Arabidopsis thaliana: one gene and its partner. The protein of the gene in region 1 purifies or fractionates together with the protein of each later gene. This does not show direct contact. Each region holds a gene or a part of one and is shown in the gene's direction. Other genes may lie near its edges.

Region 1 (7,404 bases):
TTATATTATGTTTGTAAAATCAGCAAATAATAAGAATGAAGGAGAAATCATCAATCTAAAGGGATTTGGTGTGATTTATTCAACAACCCACATAGATTAATATGTAGGCTCTCTTATCATGTATTATCACTTTCTCTAATCATTTTAAGTTAAATGAAGAAACAACCCATGATAGAATTAGTACCTAAATGATCAAATCAGTAAAGGATCAATGGAGGTCAATTAATCTGGATGAGGACAAGTCCCATGTGAGATTGGAAAATCTTCCAAGTCAGGTCTAGAACCAATCAATCGCTTTGGGACCTCAAACTTACAGAGTTAACAGTTATGTTGGCAACAATGTTTGAATAGACAAAGTCAGATCTAAAAACGAAAAAAGACTGTCACAGACTCTCACCCACATGCATACATGCCCATCACTCTTTTTCTTTCAATTTTATTATTTTAGTATAAGATGTAGTGTATATTCTTTCATATAATCGTTTTTTAAATCTAAAAACATCTCAATTTAGACATTTATATGGGATCAAAGCTGTATGTTTTCTGTCAACTAGCTGTATCTTAAATTAGTTTTAAATGTCACATATAAGACTAACCACCCATATGTGAAAGTATTAACTCAACATCTCCTTATTACAAGTTGCGCAATACGAACACAATCTTTTTTTAACTCTATCACACGTAGTCACGTAACATGTTCTCTTGTGAAACAAATGTCAGAAGAAACTAAAATAATTTCACAAAATAATACTATACAATTTTCTATTCATCTCTTTCATAAAAATGTGTATTAGTCTAAATCAACTACAACAAATAAGGTGATTAGTGTCAGTTGTTTTTTAACGACATCATTAGAAAATAGAAACCAATTTTGAAACACAACGACAACAAGTCACAAAATTATTATATAAAAAATAAATTACAGCGAGAAACTAAAACGGCCGGTTCAGATAGAAATCATTAAACCGAGTAATTGGTTAACTGGTCTAATCGTATTTGTTTTTATTTCTCCAATGAATGAGCTGACGGAGCTTCACATCGCCGAGAGCTTCGTCACGAGATCCATGGCGGCCATTTCTCCTCTCTTCCTTCTCTTCCTCATTCCCATTATCCCACTATCGCTTCTCGCTATCTTAGCCCTAATTGTACGTCCTCGTCCCATTAAGATCCCTATCAAGTCCCGTCACGCCTTCATCACCGGTGGATCTAGCGGCATCGGTCTTGCTCTCGCCCACCGCGCCGCTTCCGAGGGCGCTCGTGTCTCAATCCTCGCCCGATCCGGATCAAAGCTCGAGGAGGCTAAGAAATCGATCCAGCTCGCCACTGGTGTCGAAGTCGCCACATTCTCTGCAGACGTTCGCGATTACGATGCAGTCTCGAAGGCGATAGATGAATCGGGACCGATCGATGTGTTGATTGTTAACCAAGGTGTGTTTACGGCGAAGGAGCTGGTGAAACATAGTCCTGAAGATGTCAAATTCACGATTGACGTAAATCTTGTTGGGAGCTTCAATGTGATTAAAGCCGCTTTGCCTGCCATGAAAGCAAGGAAAGATCGTGGACCTGCTTCCATCAGTCTCGTCTCCTCTCAAGCTGGTCAGGTTCGTCTCTCAAATTTCCCATCTTTATGGATTTAAGTTTTATCTGGAGATTGTAGTTACCTGAAGTAAGACATTGACAATTTATCACTTGAAGTAACTTTTGTGTAACTGCAATAATGTGACCTCATGTAATGCAGTTTTAAAGATAGAATGATGAAGGATGTTTTTTTTAATAAAATTTTCAGGTTGGTGTCTATGGTTATGCTGCATATTCAGCAAGCAAGTTTGGTCTTCAGGGTTTAGCGCAAGCATTGCAACAGGAAGTTATATCTGATGATATTCATGTCACTCTTATTTTTCCTCCTGACACTAATACACCCGGCTTTGAAGAAGGTAAAAAAGCTTCAGTATTTTTCAGATTCATCATGGATGTATAGAGCAGATAATCTAAGTTTAACATGTGAGGGTAGCTAGGATTAGGTACTGCTACTAAATACTAAGGCAATTAAATGTATAAAAGAGTTGGAGACAGATTACTAAATAAGGCTGTACTATATGGTTGGGACATATGTAGACATAAACTATTATTCATCTAGTTTGTTATTATGAGATCAAATATGTGCCCTTATCTGGTCTGAATAATTGTGTACTCTATCAAACACGTAGCATTTCATGTTCACATGTTCTATGAGAGTGCCAGTTAGGAGAAACTGATAGACTGGTGAGTTAAGTACTGAGTACTGTGATAGTGTTTAGCTTGAAGTCTCTGCGTACTGTGGTTCACATGATACTGTTTAGAAGAGAATAATGGGATGTAGTTATCTTCCAATAGCATCTGAAAATTTCATAAAAGACTTCTTTTTGCCTATCTGAGAATGAAGTAAGCACTTTTTTTTTTTTGATAACTAATGAAGTAAACACATTATGGACTGATGTTCTGAGTTCCTTGGTTCATATTATGAGTTTGATTGATTTTCCTTGGGTGCTCTCTCAGAACAGAAGAGCAGACCTGAAGTCACTGCCATAATAGCTGCATCCTCTGGTTCAATGGAAACAGAAGAAGTAGCAAAAAAGGCTATGGATGGCATAAAAGCAGGAAACTTCACCGTCTCATGCAACTTTGAGGGATTCTTACTGTCTCTCGCGACAACCGGCATGTCCCCTCAAAGATCATTTTGGCTTGCTTTTCTTGAAGTTATAACCGCAGGGCCTATAAGATTAATCGCTCTCTTCTTTCAATGGGATTGGTATAAAGCCATTGAAAAATGGAGCAAAACCAAAACCAAATGGTAAGTTCCTAATGCCATCAAGTTGTCATCATATAGAATTTGCTCTTGCTTGACTGCGACATCACTATTCTAAAATTGCTTCTCTTTTGTAATTTCAGACAGCCCGACAATGTATCTTGAAGTGCTTTTGGCAGAAGCTTAAACATTGATGGGTATTCTCAAACCTTCTTCTCAGTCCGGTACCACGCCAGCTAGTCGACTATACCAATTCAGAATATCGACATTGCTGATAGTTTTGTAGAAACTCGTCAAGATTCATGTTTCCGGTCTTTGAACAAGCTCTGTTTTTTCTTTTTTTTTATAGAGAAATCAAAGAACTCATTTGAATGTATTTTTTACTTGGTCAAGAAGTGAATGTTTTTCACAAGATGAAATGTAAATGATGTATTTGAAAGAAGTAAAAACTTCAAAACCAAAATTTGAGTGTGTGCTGTTCTTGAGGCTTTTAAACAACGTGCAGTCTGATTTGTTTGTTACAAAACGGCAACGATTAAGTCTCTTTAGAAAGGTCTTTGAGAAGTGCCATAAACGACACTATACAGTAATCGAAGGAACCAAGAAACGGTCTCAATCTTATTTTCAGCGATGGCGATGTCAATTCTAAAGCTAAGAAATTTATCGGCACTAAGATCGGCGGCAAATAGTGCCCGGATCGGAGTTTCATCGAGGGGTTTCTCAAAGCTCGCGGAAGGCACTGACATAACCTCGGCGGCGCCTGGCGTTTCTCTCCAGAAAGCTCGCAGCTGGGACGAAGGTGTTTCCTCCAAATTCTCCACCACGCCATTGTCAGATATCTTCAAGGTTCGAATCTCTCTTTTCTGACAATTTCAATTCAGAGGGGGATTTCAATTTCTGACAAAACGTTTGTGGATATTGATTGGTTGCAGGGGAAGAAAGTCGTCATCTTTGGTCTTCCTGTAAGAAATCTCTATCTTTTCATGTTCCTTTATGTCTTGATCAGGTTTCTGAGTTCTGATGTTGTGCCGGAATATTCGTTTTCTGTGTTCAGGGGGCTTACACGGGAGTTTGTTCACAGCAGCATGTGCCTAGCTACAAGAGCCACATTGATAAGTTTAAAGCCAAAGGCATTGATTCTGTCATCTGTGTCTCTGTTAATGATCCCTTTGCTATCAATGGTTGGGCAGAGAAGCTTGGTGCCAAAGATGCAGTAAGTTCATCGATTTTTTTTTTGTTCCTATCTTTGTTCTTTGACACCAACCTAATCCGATGTTTAGTGTATGCTGATTTGGTTCTTTGCTTCAGAAAACTTGATTTGCAACATAACATATATTATTCGGTTCCTGGTTTCGTTGTCTAAGAGTTTTCAGTGGTGAAGATGGTTCATTTAGGAATCTTTTAACTCCTCAAGTATGTAACTCTTGTTGACGTCCTGATAGTAATCAACCTCTTATAGTTAGAACTATATTACTCTATTATTCACGTTGTCTGTGGTCTCAAGATTTTATATTACACCAATAGACGATAAACAGATCTGATTCTATGATTAAATGGACTTCCCTTATTAGAAAGTTCATAATTCTTGATATGGACTAGCATTACAATAGATTTCTATGTTTATGTTCGGATAAGTTTACGTGCTAGAAGAAATGACTTAAATGTGATGCTCTTGAACGTTGTCTATGATTACCTTCACATTAATAGACGATAAAAGAATTTGATTCTATGATTAAATGGACTTCCCTCATTAGAAAGTTCATAATTCTTTATATCGACTAGTACTACATGCTAGAACAAATGACTTAATGTGATGCTCTTGAACGTTGTCATACCAGATTGAGTTTTATGGAGATTTTGATGGGAAATTTCACAAAAGCTTGGGGCTAGACAAGGATCTCTCTGCTGCATTGCTCGGGCCACGGTCTGAGAGGTAATATACTGGAAAGTCCATTTGTAGAAATGTTTGTATCGTAAACCATTGATCTAACAGATTCGTTGGATTTATGATGTCCATGTTCAGATGGTCGGCTTATGTAGAAGACGGGAAGGTTAAGGCGGTGAATGTGGAAGAAGCACCGTCTGACTTCAAGGTTACAGGGGCAGAAGTCATCTTAGGACAGATCTAAAAAGTATTTCCAGAGTTGCTGTTTCTTCTGAGTTGCAACTGATAATAAGTTTGATCCGAACATGTCTCAAGGATCAGACCAAGTAACAGCTTCACTTCTTTTGTTTTGTTTCCACAGTTTCAGTTTAAATAAAACTTATGTGTCTTGCCGTTTCTCACCAAATGTAAATCTGGTTCATAATATGAATAAGAAACCAATGTGGTTGAGGGATATGATTTTTCGTGTCCCCATTGTCAACATGAAGGTTAAGACTCCTCTGCTTAATCCTAAGTCTCCCACTCGTGTTCTTGAGCAATTTAGCTTCTTTCCTCGCTACCTGGTGTTTCTCCTTCCATTGTTGAGTCTCTAACCTTGTGGCCTCGAGATCTGTTTCTGCAATCACAAGCTGCTCTTTCATTTGACTAAAATCCGGAGCCAGCTATTTCAAACCCAATGCCAAATAAAGCCATTGCTTGTGGAGTATGAAGGTATATAGATGAACTAGGTGCTGCTCTTGAGGGAGGACATGAAAGCTGAGTGGGTTGTTGTGAAAGGCCTTACAAGGACGTAGTATGTCAAATTTGTTGATAAGATCCTTATTGGGCTTGGCCCATAGACAAAAGTAATTTTGAGCCGAAAAGAGGAATCTTTCCACTCTAAACCCTATGCGTGACTCATCTCCGTCTCTCACAGTAATAATCAAGTCAGAGCCGGCGAAGCTTGCCGTTTCCGCCGTTGGAGGTAAGCCTTATCTCTCTTTCTCATCTCCTTCTCCGATTTCCAACTCTCAGATAATAGATTGGCGGTTCATGGATCCCATTGTTTGATTTCGGAACTGTGTTAGCAGCTAATAACCTAGACTATCAAATCTGATACATTGGAATTTATATTTGGGCTATTGACGCTGAAACCGATCTTATGAATCATCCTTTCTTACTCACCATTTTGTTTCACTGATCTTGATATGTTCATTTGATCTGCAAAGAAGAAACCTTTGAACCTAAACCTATACAATAGAAACATGTTTCTTGAAATTATTTTTATGTTAAGCACTAATTTCTTGATAATCAGTCTTATTCTGAGATCTTGATCTCTTTGCATTGGAATATTATCAATGTTTAGTAGATTCGCTAGCTAAAGTTTTCGTCTTTTTTTGAAAACACAGGAGAGTTTTTACTGTTGCTGTCCTGTTGACATTTTGAGACATGAAATGATCTTGGGTTGATGTTTGTATGGTAGCAGAGGAATAGTAGTCATGAAGCTTATTTCACTTGTTAGAAACGTTCGTTCTCGCCAATGTCAACCGGAAGTAATCTGGTCTGTGCAAGTTCGTTTCTTGCAGCAAGACTCTGTCTCGAAAGCTAAACCCAAGAAATACAAATACCCGTCAGTTTATGATCCGTATGGTCCTAGACCCCAGCCTTCAAGCAAAATCATGGAGCTAGCTGAGCGTATAGCTGCTTTATCTCCAGAAGAAAGAAAACAGATTGGTCCTGCACTCAATGAACACCTGAGGCTTCCAAAACAACAGATGATTTCATCGGACGGCATTGGAGCAAAACAAGATACCGGAGCTGGGAATGTAGAGGAGAAGAAGGAGAAGACGGCTTTCGATGTGAAGTTGGAGAAGTTTAATGCATCTGATAAGATCAAAGTGATAAAAGAAGTGAGAACGTTCACAAGTTTGGGTCTGAAGGAAGCGAAAGAGCTTGTGGAGAAAGTCCCGGCTATTCTTAAACAAGGTGTGACAAAGGAAGAAGCTAATGAAATCATAGCCAAGATCAAAGCTGTTGGTGGAATCGCAGTTATGGAGTAGGTGACTTTTGACACTTCGATTGTTTTTTTGTTTGATTCACTATTTGGTATTGTGATCACATCTTGGTACTTAAGGTAGATGTTTTGTAATAACAAATCGATTACTTGACATTGAGTTTTCAAGAACTTTGGTCAATTGTTTGCCTTCTCTTTGGAACTTGTTCTTGTCCTCTATCCTTATATTAGAAACGATGCCGTATAGGATGAGAGGGACCAAGCGAATTAGTTAAAAATGCCTTAAATTGTCGGCACAACGTCAAAATCGAGCTGACAAGAAAAGCAGAACAGAATCAAACAACTCTTTATGAGTAAAAGCGAAGTAACCATTTCTCTCACTCTCCTTTCTCAATTAATATAAGCCAATCACCATCAAAATATCATTTGAGAACTCTAGAAACCTGCTTCAATGGCGATCGACAAGCTTCCACTTCTTCTCTTTCTCTCCATACTCCTCTGCCTCAATCGCCCTGTTCTTAGCGACACCGGTAACTTCCTCTCTTTCTTCCATTGTTTTCTTGTTGAAGTAAATCTCTGTTCTTGAAACTCTTTCTGTCTCTCTTTATAGTGTTTATTCAGGATCTTTAGATCTGGTCTGAAATCTCTTAGGAGTTAGGATCTGTTCACTTCAATTAAAAGTTCTTCCATAGATCTCAATCATGAGAAAGTTGAACTTATTTGAAAAGGTTAATACTTTCT
Region 2 (7,315 bases), 5.3 Mb from region 1:
TTTTGATTATTCATCTTAACTTTTTAGTATTCTCATAATCAATGCATTACTAGTCTTCATCTATAAGTGCTCATATTTAGTCAAAAAAAGAAGAAGAATTAAGGCTACTGAGAACTCATTTAGCTTGTCTTCTTACTACACAAGCTTCTCTTAAACTTTTAATGGTTAGCTTATATGAAACATAAATCTAGGAGAGCGCTAACCAGCCCAAAACTGGTGGATTGAAGGAAGGTGTATGGTTCCATGACTTGCTTGAGGTTGATATTCAGCTACGGTTACTCTGTAAGTATGCTTTAAGACCAGGGAGTATCAAAGGACAAAACTTAACTCCGAGAAATCATTCAATCTTCTACGTGTCAGCCTAGCAGCCACTTGCACTTTGTAAAACTGACAAGGACAAAAGTTAAAATGGGAAACTCAAATCTAAGCATGCGTACTTGCAAATTTCAAAGTTAAACGCAGCTTACTCTGTTGTCTGTTCTACATAAATTACAACAGCAGAGCTGCCTATTTGCAAGAACACAAACATAACAAATGTTAGAAGAGAAACAGAGATTTAGCAATGAGTCTACTACAACAGAAGAAGTAAATTAAACAACTAAAGGCAACAAAACGAAGTCAAATATGGCAAACAAAAAGAAGTATGAGAGACGAATTAAATTTCTATATATTGTTCAAAGAAGAAGATGACAAAAGAGAAAAAGAAACAAGTAAAAGTGCAAGAAATAGATTATGGGTTTTGTAAAATGCACTATTCAAGTTGCATTGAACTTGGAACATAAGAGGACACAAGTGGTTTGAGATCTCTGTTTCGAACTTCTCCAAGATCCACTTCTTTCAAGGATCCATCCTGTCCAATGATGAAAGCTGTGTTGTGCTTCCTGTCTTTGCTTTGATTAAAAACCACAGCGATTTTCTTCTCTTCATCAATGAAGAAACTTGTAGCCATAAACGAAAACATAAAATCGTTGCCAGTGAGTGGTGTCATATCCACTGATAAGAAGACCTTGCTGCCCCACGACAACATGTTGGGCTCAATCTTAGTTGTAACCCAGATCTCCATTTCTAATGTATGCTAGTCTTCTTACTATACAAGTCTGTGTCATAGCCTATATGAAACATAAATCTAGTTGAGCTAACAAACAAATGCGGTAAAAATTAGTCTATCCAAACTCATTGATAAACATTGGTTAATGAAGAGCTTCTTTTTGCTAGATTAAGAATCCAAGATTGGAAGTTTACTGCTACCACTATAATGACTAGAATGTAAATGGCAATAAACAACTCATTCAGATCGTAGTGGAATGTAAATTGGATATATTTCAATCTCAAGCTTATCCCATCCCTTCCCATTTTCATATTTCAAAACTGCATTAATTTCTCCATTCAATTTTCTTGCTTTTATTTTATTTTATAAAACATTTAGATTCTTCTGTGGGCGCAAGTTCATGCATGCGCCAATAGAGTCGCCAATGCAATGTAGATTAGAGGTATGGGTAGTTCAGCTTCTTAAATGCAACTCCTCCTCCTTTCTCTCTTTTTTCCTTTATAAATTGCTCTTTTCTCACACTCCACACCACTCTCCAATTCAAGCTCTCACCCCATAAATAGACAAATTCAAAATATCTTATAAGAGAAAGAAAAAAAATCAATTAGTCTTCCATCTTTTCTTCATGGGCATTTCTAAGATGATTCTTCTGAAATTCACATATGTTGTTTCTTTCTGGATTACTTGCGTGATCTTCAAAATGTCAAGAACGATAAAACGAGCTTTGTTGGGCTCATTCATCTTCATTCTTGCTTCCGGTAAATTTACAAGTTATCTTCATTTTCTTATCATTTAATGCTGTTTGTTCCCCTTTTTTTTTTTGAATTCTATAGATGCTTGCTAAACTAACGTACTTTTAAAGATGAAACTTGAGACGCCATCTCATTGGTTTTGGATATATGTACTTCATTGACATGTACTTACCTCTCATATATGAATCCACACATATGTATACTATATATAGTTGACAACTTGACATGAGTGTTTGATAAAAGAACTAAAACATATTAACAAAAAGATAAAGAGAAAATTCTTGAATGGATGCGATGTGTCAAGCAACTTCTACTTACCATAAGAGTCTGATGTGGGATCTTCTTTTCCATTTTCTTAGTTTTTTCCTTTAACCTGAATTACTTGTTGTCTATGCATTCCTTAATTGAATTTAATAACTTATCTTATGTATGGATTCTCTACCCTTAAATTCTCATTCTTTAAGAAAAGTATATCTTTTTGTCAACAATATCTTCATCCAAATTCTTAGAAAAATATACTTTCTTTTTGGTATGTATCATTTTAACATATCACATTGCATTGTTTTCATTCCACATTCCATGTTAAACAATTTTATAAGATCACGAAATGTCATTAATTTTGAATGTAGCTAGTGTTGTGGTAGCCGCCATTGTAGGAGCCATCGAAGGTCACACCACTGACATCGGATTTCTTCAAGGTAGTGTGCTTGGAGTGGTGGCTGGAGTTATCACTGCGGTCCAACTCTTTGGACCGGTGCTACATAGTGATCAACCTTTGTCTAAGGTGATTGTGACTCTACATATAACCCTAGAATCTAAAAAATAAATCACTAAACAACCATATGTTTCTAGTTAAATAGTGGGAGTGGTCCTGTAATTAAGAAAGCTAGCTAAAAATGAATGGTATTCTAGTAACTAGTTATCTGAATAAAAGATGATGTTATGGTAACAATAGTTTGGTGACAAAAATATGAAAAGAGTGGCAGGTGGCTTTACTCAGGAGAGTAGTGAATGGGAAAGCCATTATGGGATTGGTTAGACCTTTTGTTCTCAAAGCATATCAATGGCAAGTAAGTACTCTCCATTCTTTTTGTTCTTCTGACTTTTTTTCAACTACGTCTTTTTATTTGACAAGAACACGATATTTTCTAACGTAAAATCAGAACCATAACAAAAAGCGTTAAACTAAGTATATTTTACAAAATTTTAACTCCGGTAATATTATAATACAAAATGCAGATAATAGCATTGGATACAAGTTACATGGAGAGTTCAAACTTATACGATTTCAATCATGAAAAAAAGGGACTATCGAAGAGCTCTATTCAGAACATCCCGATGTTCTACAACCGTTCAGAACATCAAACAAAATCGAGTTGCTCGATTTGCTTACAGGTGATAAAAATGTAATTAATTAGAATCATCTAGGAATCAGATTTTAATATATGATAATAATGACTTAAATCATATATATTTCTAATGTTCATTTTTGGGGTGTGTAGGATTGGGAAGAAGGGGAAGTAGGAAGAAAGCTAGCAAGATGTGGCCACACATTTCATATGAATTGCATAGATGAGTGGTTGCTTAGACAAGAAACTTGCCCCATTTGTAGAGACCATCTTTCACATAACACAACTTCTACATAACAATATGTTGTGGATAAACTTCACAAAGCTATGGACCGACATGACCCAACGGGTCCAAATTTTTAAAATTTGCAATCCAACTAAACTACACAAAAATAAAAATTAAATTCTCAGTAATATATGTACCTAACTAAGGGTAAAGTGGGAAATACAAAAAAACATTTCGAAGAGAAGGAAGAAGACAAAAGAAGAAGCACGAGAATCATCTGCTTAAAATCCAATCGCATCGACTCAGTCTTCTTCTTCTTCTTCACCTACCTTTCTCTCTCTCTCTCGTGGTCCATTCGCTATTCTATACTTCTTGTCGGCGCCGGAGAGAGTGAGATGACTTGGTCGGTTTTCAGATCCATAAATACTCCAACACTCGACCTCTCCACCGCACTTCGCTCCACTCGTACCCCATTGGTCGCTGCTGGTGTCGGCTGCGCAACATTCGCTGGTGTTTCTCTCTTCAGAATGTCTTCTAGATCTCCTCCTTTCGCTTCCCTCTCTGTCTCTGCTTCTTCTGGTGACGATTTTACTCAATTTTCTCCAATTTGGACCGATATTAGTACTTTCTAAAGATGCGATTTTTATGAATGTCAGTGTCAAAAAGTTGAAATTGATTTCAGTTATCATCAATGCATATGTTTGTTAGTATTGGGTTTTAGTTTCTTTCATCTTCCGTATTGAATGATCAAGGGTTTGAGAATAGGGTTTTTACTAAAGAAATGTGATGTTGTGTGTGGTGTGCAGTGAAGAAGGAAGTTGTGTCTACTGAGAAAGCACCAGCTGCTTTGGGACCTTACTCTCAGGCCATTAAAGCCAATAATCTGGTTTTTCTTTCAGGTGTTCTTGGACTTATACCTGAGGTCCGTATATATAAGATATGAAACTGTGTAATCACCATGTTGTTTCTCTTTTCTGTGTTCTAAGATTACAAGATTTGCTCTTTTTGTTTTGTGTATATAGACTGGAAAGTTTGTTTCGGAGAGCGTCGAAGATCAGACTGAGCAGGTTAGCTTTCAAACTGTCACCGTAGTCTCTATAAAAATTGGTTTTGTTTAGAGTACTTTCCACTTGCTTCTCTGTTTTGGTGGATGATTATCCACAGAAAAGGAGGTCTAGCCTCTAGGTCGTCATGATGTTGTTTGTTGGTGAAAATGTAGTGAGGGATGACAACTTAATGTGCCTTATTCTAGCTGAGTTTATTGGGATATAAACTTTCATGATACAAAACTAAGCCTTTGAAACTTTTGGGTTTTGCTTTAAAATTCTTGATTTGGTTGGTATTAGTCTTCAAATTAACTTGTTCCAGTGTAGTTGTAGCAAGGTTGAGTTGCTCTGTTTTTCCTTCCTGATTTTATCTACTTGCTTCTATTATCTTATGGAATATCAAAGGTACTCAAAAACATGGGGGAGATATTGAAAGCTAGTGGTGCTGATTATTCCTCGGTGGTGAAGACAACAATCATGTAAGGGATCTTGTTTTTTTCAACAGTACCATTGTCCATTTGAATTCTGAATCTAAATAGAAAGAAAAACAATCTCTTCTGGTTTTCTCTCAAAGGTTGGCTGATTTGGCTGACTTCAAGACAGTGAACGAGATATATGCCAAATGTGAGTTCTTTAACAAGATTGTTTGTGTTCCTACTTTGTTTGAGATGCATAATTATTAGTGGAGTCGTTAAGGGCATGAAACATTTGTCTCTGTTGCAGACTTCCCAGCTCCTTCTCCAGCACGATCGACGTATCAAGTTGCAGCTTTGCCTCTAAACGCCAAGATCGAGATTGAATGTATTGCAACACTCTAGAACACTCAAATCAATCTCTACGAAGGGTATTTTGGTCCGGAAGATGTCAAAACAAATAAGAGAAACAATGGTTTTTGGGGCTTAACCCATATTTAACCTACTTTTCATTTTGCTGCACTACGAAAAATGTTGCGGATTATCAACCATTAGGTTGGTTACAAATCAAAAGCCTCTAATCAAGAATAAGTTATTTAGTGTCTTGTCCACCCTCATTTGCTGTTGACGTATATGTATTGATTGTATACATTATTTTATTTGAGTGAAAACCATTATGCTTGAAGAGACAAGAGTTAATAACTTAATATGGTCGTTAGAAGAGGAATGATAATTTAATATTGCTAGAGAAAGAAAATATATGTAAAAAAAAATGCAAACACAAATTACCCTTTATTATTATTAGGTGGTTTGGTAACAAAGGAAAAACATGGAGCTTCAAGTTCCTATAGTTTGAGAAATCTAACTAGGGTACCACTTGGTTGAGGAAATGCCCTCGAGTTGAACTTCAACCTTCAACATATCATTCACAACAAAACCCTTTGATGAATCTCTGAGATCAGCTAGAGGGATAATCTGAAAGTCGCCCGAGTAATAAAACCAAGAAGTGTACCAATTACTAACTGCGAAAAAAGAAAGTAAAATCCCATTAGTCAATGGCGATGAGATGTTATATATCCATTTTCTTACGTACCTTGTATTTCGACGTTATTGAGTTTGCGTTGGTTAAGAACTCGAAGCTTGGCTCGAACATAAATCATCTCAAAGGGTTTGAATTTATCGTTAATGTTAAGATACAGCGACATGGCTTTTCCCTTTGAAAGATTACGACCATTCGGAAACACTTGTAAATACCTGATCATCATATAAAACAATAATTGTTAATTACTACCACTATACTCTTATAGCGCAAAGTTTTTACTTCTGTAATGATGTGGTACTCACATGCTTCTTCCTCCAATGGAGAACACATCGGATTGGTAACTTTCTTTGAGCAGCGTCGAGAATCTCAGGAGTGCATAAGTGAATATTGGGTTATCGAATTTCTCAGTGACAAATAAAGATTCAGATTTTTGGTAGTGAGAAGCAACGGTCACATCAACACCAAACTCACAGTGATTATCGTAGATGTATCCGTTTCGCAGGTCTTCGAATTGATCTGCAGACATGACCTTAGGGAATCCCAAAAGCCTTTTGGGTGCAGTAAATTTCCATACGTTGGTATCTATAGATTATAACAAAAATGTTACTATATATCATGCACGCATAGATAATTATTCTTGCTTGTTATACATATTGAAAAAATTTAGCAAAAACCTTGGACGGTAAAGTACTTCTTCTCGTTGTTATTGAAGATGTAAAACCTTAGATCCGCGTAAACGACTTGATCTGCAGTGATGGGGGTCGATTCGTGTAAGAGTACGTAAAGCGAAACGTATCCTGAAGTACCATCCCACGTGAGCCCGTTAGGGTGTACCTTAAGTACCCTGTATTATATATCATGTCTTTTAAGACCCATCAAAAGATTTTTGGTACATAAGATTCGATTCATGAAAATGAAGATCAGAATACCAACATACCAGTTGTATCCACCAGCTGCAAAGGGACGAGATTCGAATCCCAAGTAGGGGATTTTAAGGAACGAGTTATAAGACTCTATCTTGAAAGAGTAAGACGAGGGAGGAACTTCTGTTAGACCTTTCACTATGTTTGAAGCTGATACTTTATAATCAAGTGATGATGAGATCTCATTATGTTTATGCAAGTAATTTCCTTTTTCCAGGTTTGGTGTTGGTCCATCTTTTCCCTTCTCTGTTTCAGACAAAAATACAGAGCATTTGAAAAAAGAAAAAAAAACAGAGGATTATGTCCACACACAAAATCTAAGTTACATAGATGAATCTAAGAGTGAAAGAGATTTTATACGCTGTTGAATTGTGTTGAAGTCATCACTGAATTGTCGTATAAAGGAACCCGCAGACGAAGATGTGATGAAGAGACAAAACAGGAGATAAACAAAAGAGGATGTGTTTCTGTAGAGACTCGTCATCTTTCAAGGTTATGACTTATGTGAATGAAGTG

The links.
Region 2: the proteins of PRXIIF (region 1) and AT3G20390 fractionate together in Arabidopsis thaliana (co-fractionation; one large-scale study listed by BioGRID). This does not show direct contact.

The regions. Positions count from the first base shown.
Region 1 is NC_003074.8:1,823,821-1,831,224, reverse strand, and holds PRXIIF (peroxiredoxin IIF), read left to right. Parts: upstream 1-3,318; 5' UTR 3,319-3,415; coding exon 3,416-3,631; intron 3,632-3,717; coding exon 3,718-3,747; intron 3,748-3,839; coding exon 3,840-3,998; coding exon of another isoform or gene 3,999-4,148; exon of another isoform or gene 4,149-4,198; intron 4,199-4,623; coding exon 4,624-4,718; intron 4,719-4,808; coding exon 4,809-4,914; 3' UTR 4,915-5,226; downstream 5,227-7,404. Other genes in the region: TSC10A (NAD(P)-binding Rossmann-fold superfamily protein), read left to right, coding at 1,014-1,601, 1,787-1,934, 2,536-2,830, 2,929-2,929; AT3G06040 (Ribosomal protein L12/ ATP-dependent Clp protease adaptor protein ClpS family protein), read left to right, coding at 6,149-6,709; AT3G06035 (Glycoprotein membrane precursor GPI-anchored), read left to right, coding at 7,115-7,193. UniProt on the Arabidopsis thaliana protein: Thiol-specific peroxidase that catalyzes the reduction of hydrogen peroxide and organic hydroperoxides to water and alcohols, respectively. Plays a role in cell protection against oxidative stress by detoxifying peroxides.
Region 2 is NC_003074.8:7,108,151-7,115,465, reverse strand, and holds AT3G20390 (endoribonuclease L-PSP family protein), read left to right. Parts: upstream 1-3,536; 5' UTR 3,537-3,566; coding exon 3,567-3,954; intron 3,955-4,181; coding exon 4,182-4,297; intron 4,298-4,397; coding exon 4,398-4,442; intron 4,443-4,826; coding exon 4,827-4,900; intron 4,901-4,995; coding exon 4,996-5,045; intron 5,046-5,144; coding exon 5,145-5,239; 3' UTR 5,240-5,580; downstream 5,581-7,315. Other genes in the region: EMB2743 (F-box associated ubiquitination effector family protein), read right to left, coding at 752-1,063; AT3G20395 (RING/U-box superfamily protein), read left to right, coding at 1,674-1,806, 2,430-2,584, 2,787-2,870, 3,040-3,195, 3,303-3,446; AT3G20380 (TRAF-like family protein), read right to left, coding at 5,696-5,856, 5,928-6,088, 6,179-6,458, 6,551-6,720, 6,814-7,045, 7,160-7,283. UniProt on the Arabidopsis thaliana protein: Hydrolyzes the Ser-derived enamine/imine product of Thr dehydratase, protecting the plastidial branched-chain aminotransferase BCAT3 (AC Q9M401) from inactivation. Involved in Ile biosynthesis.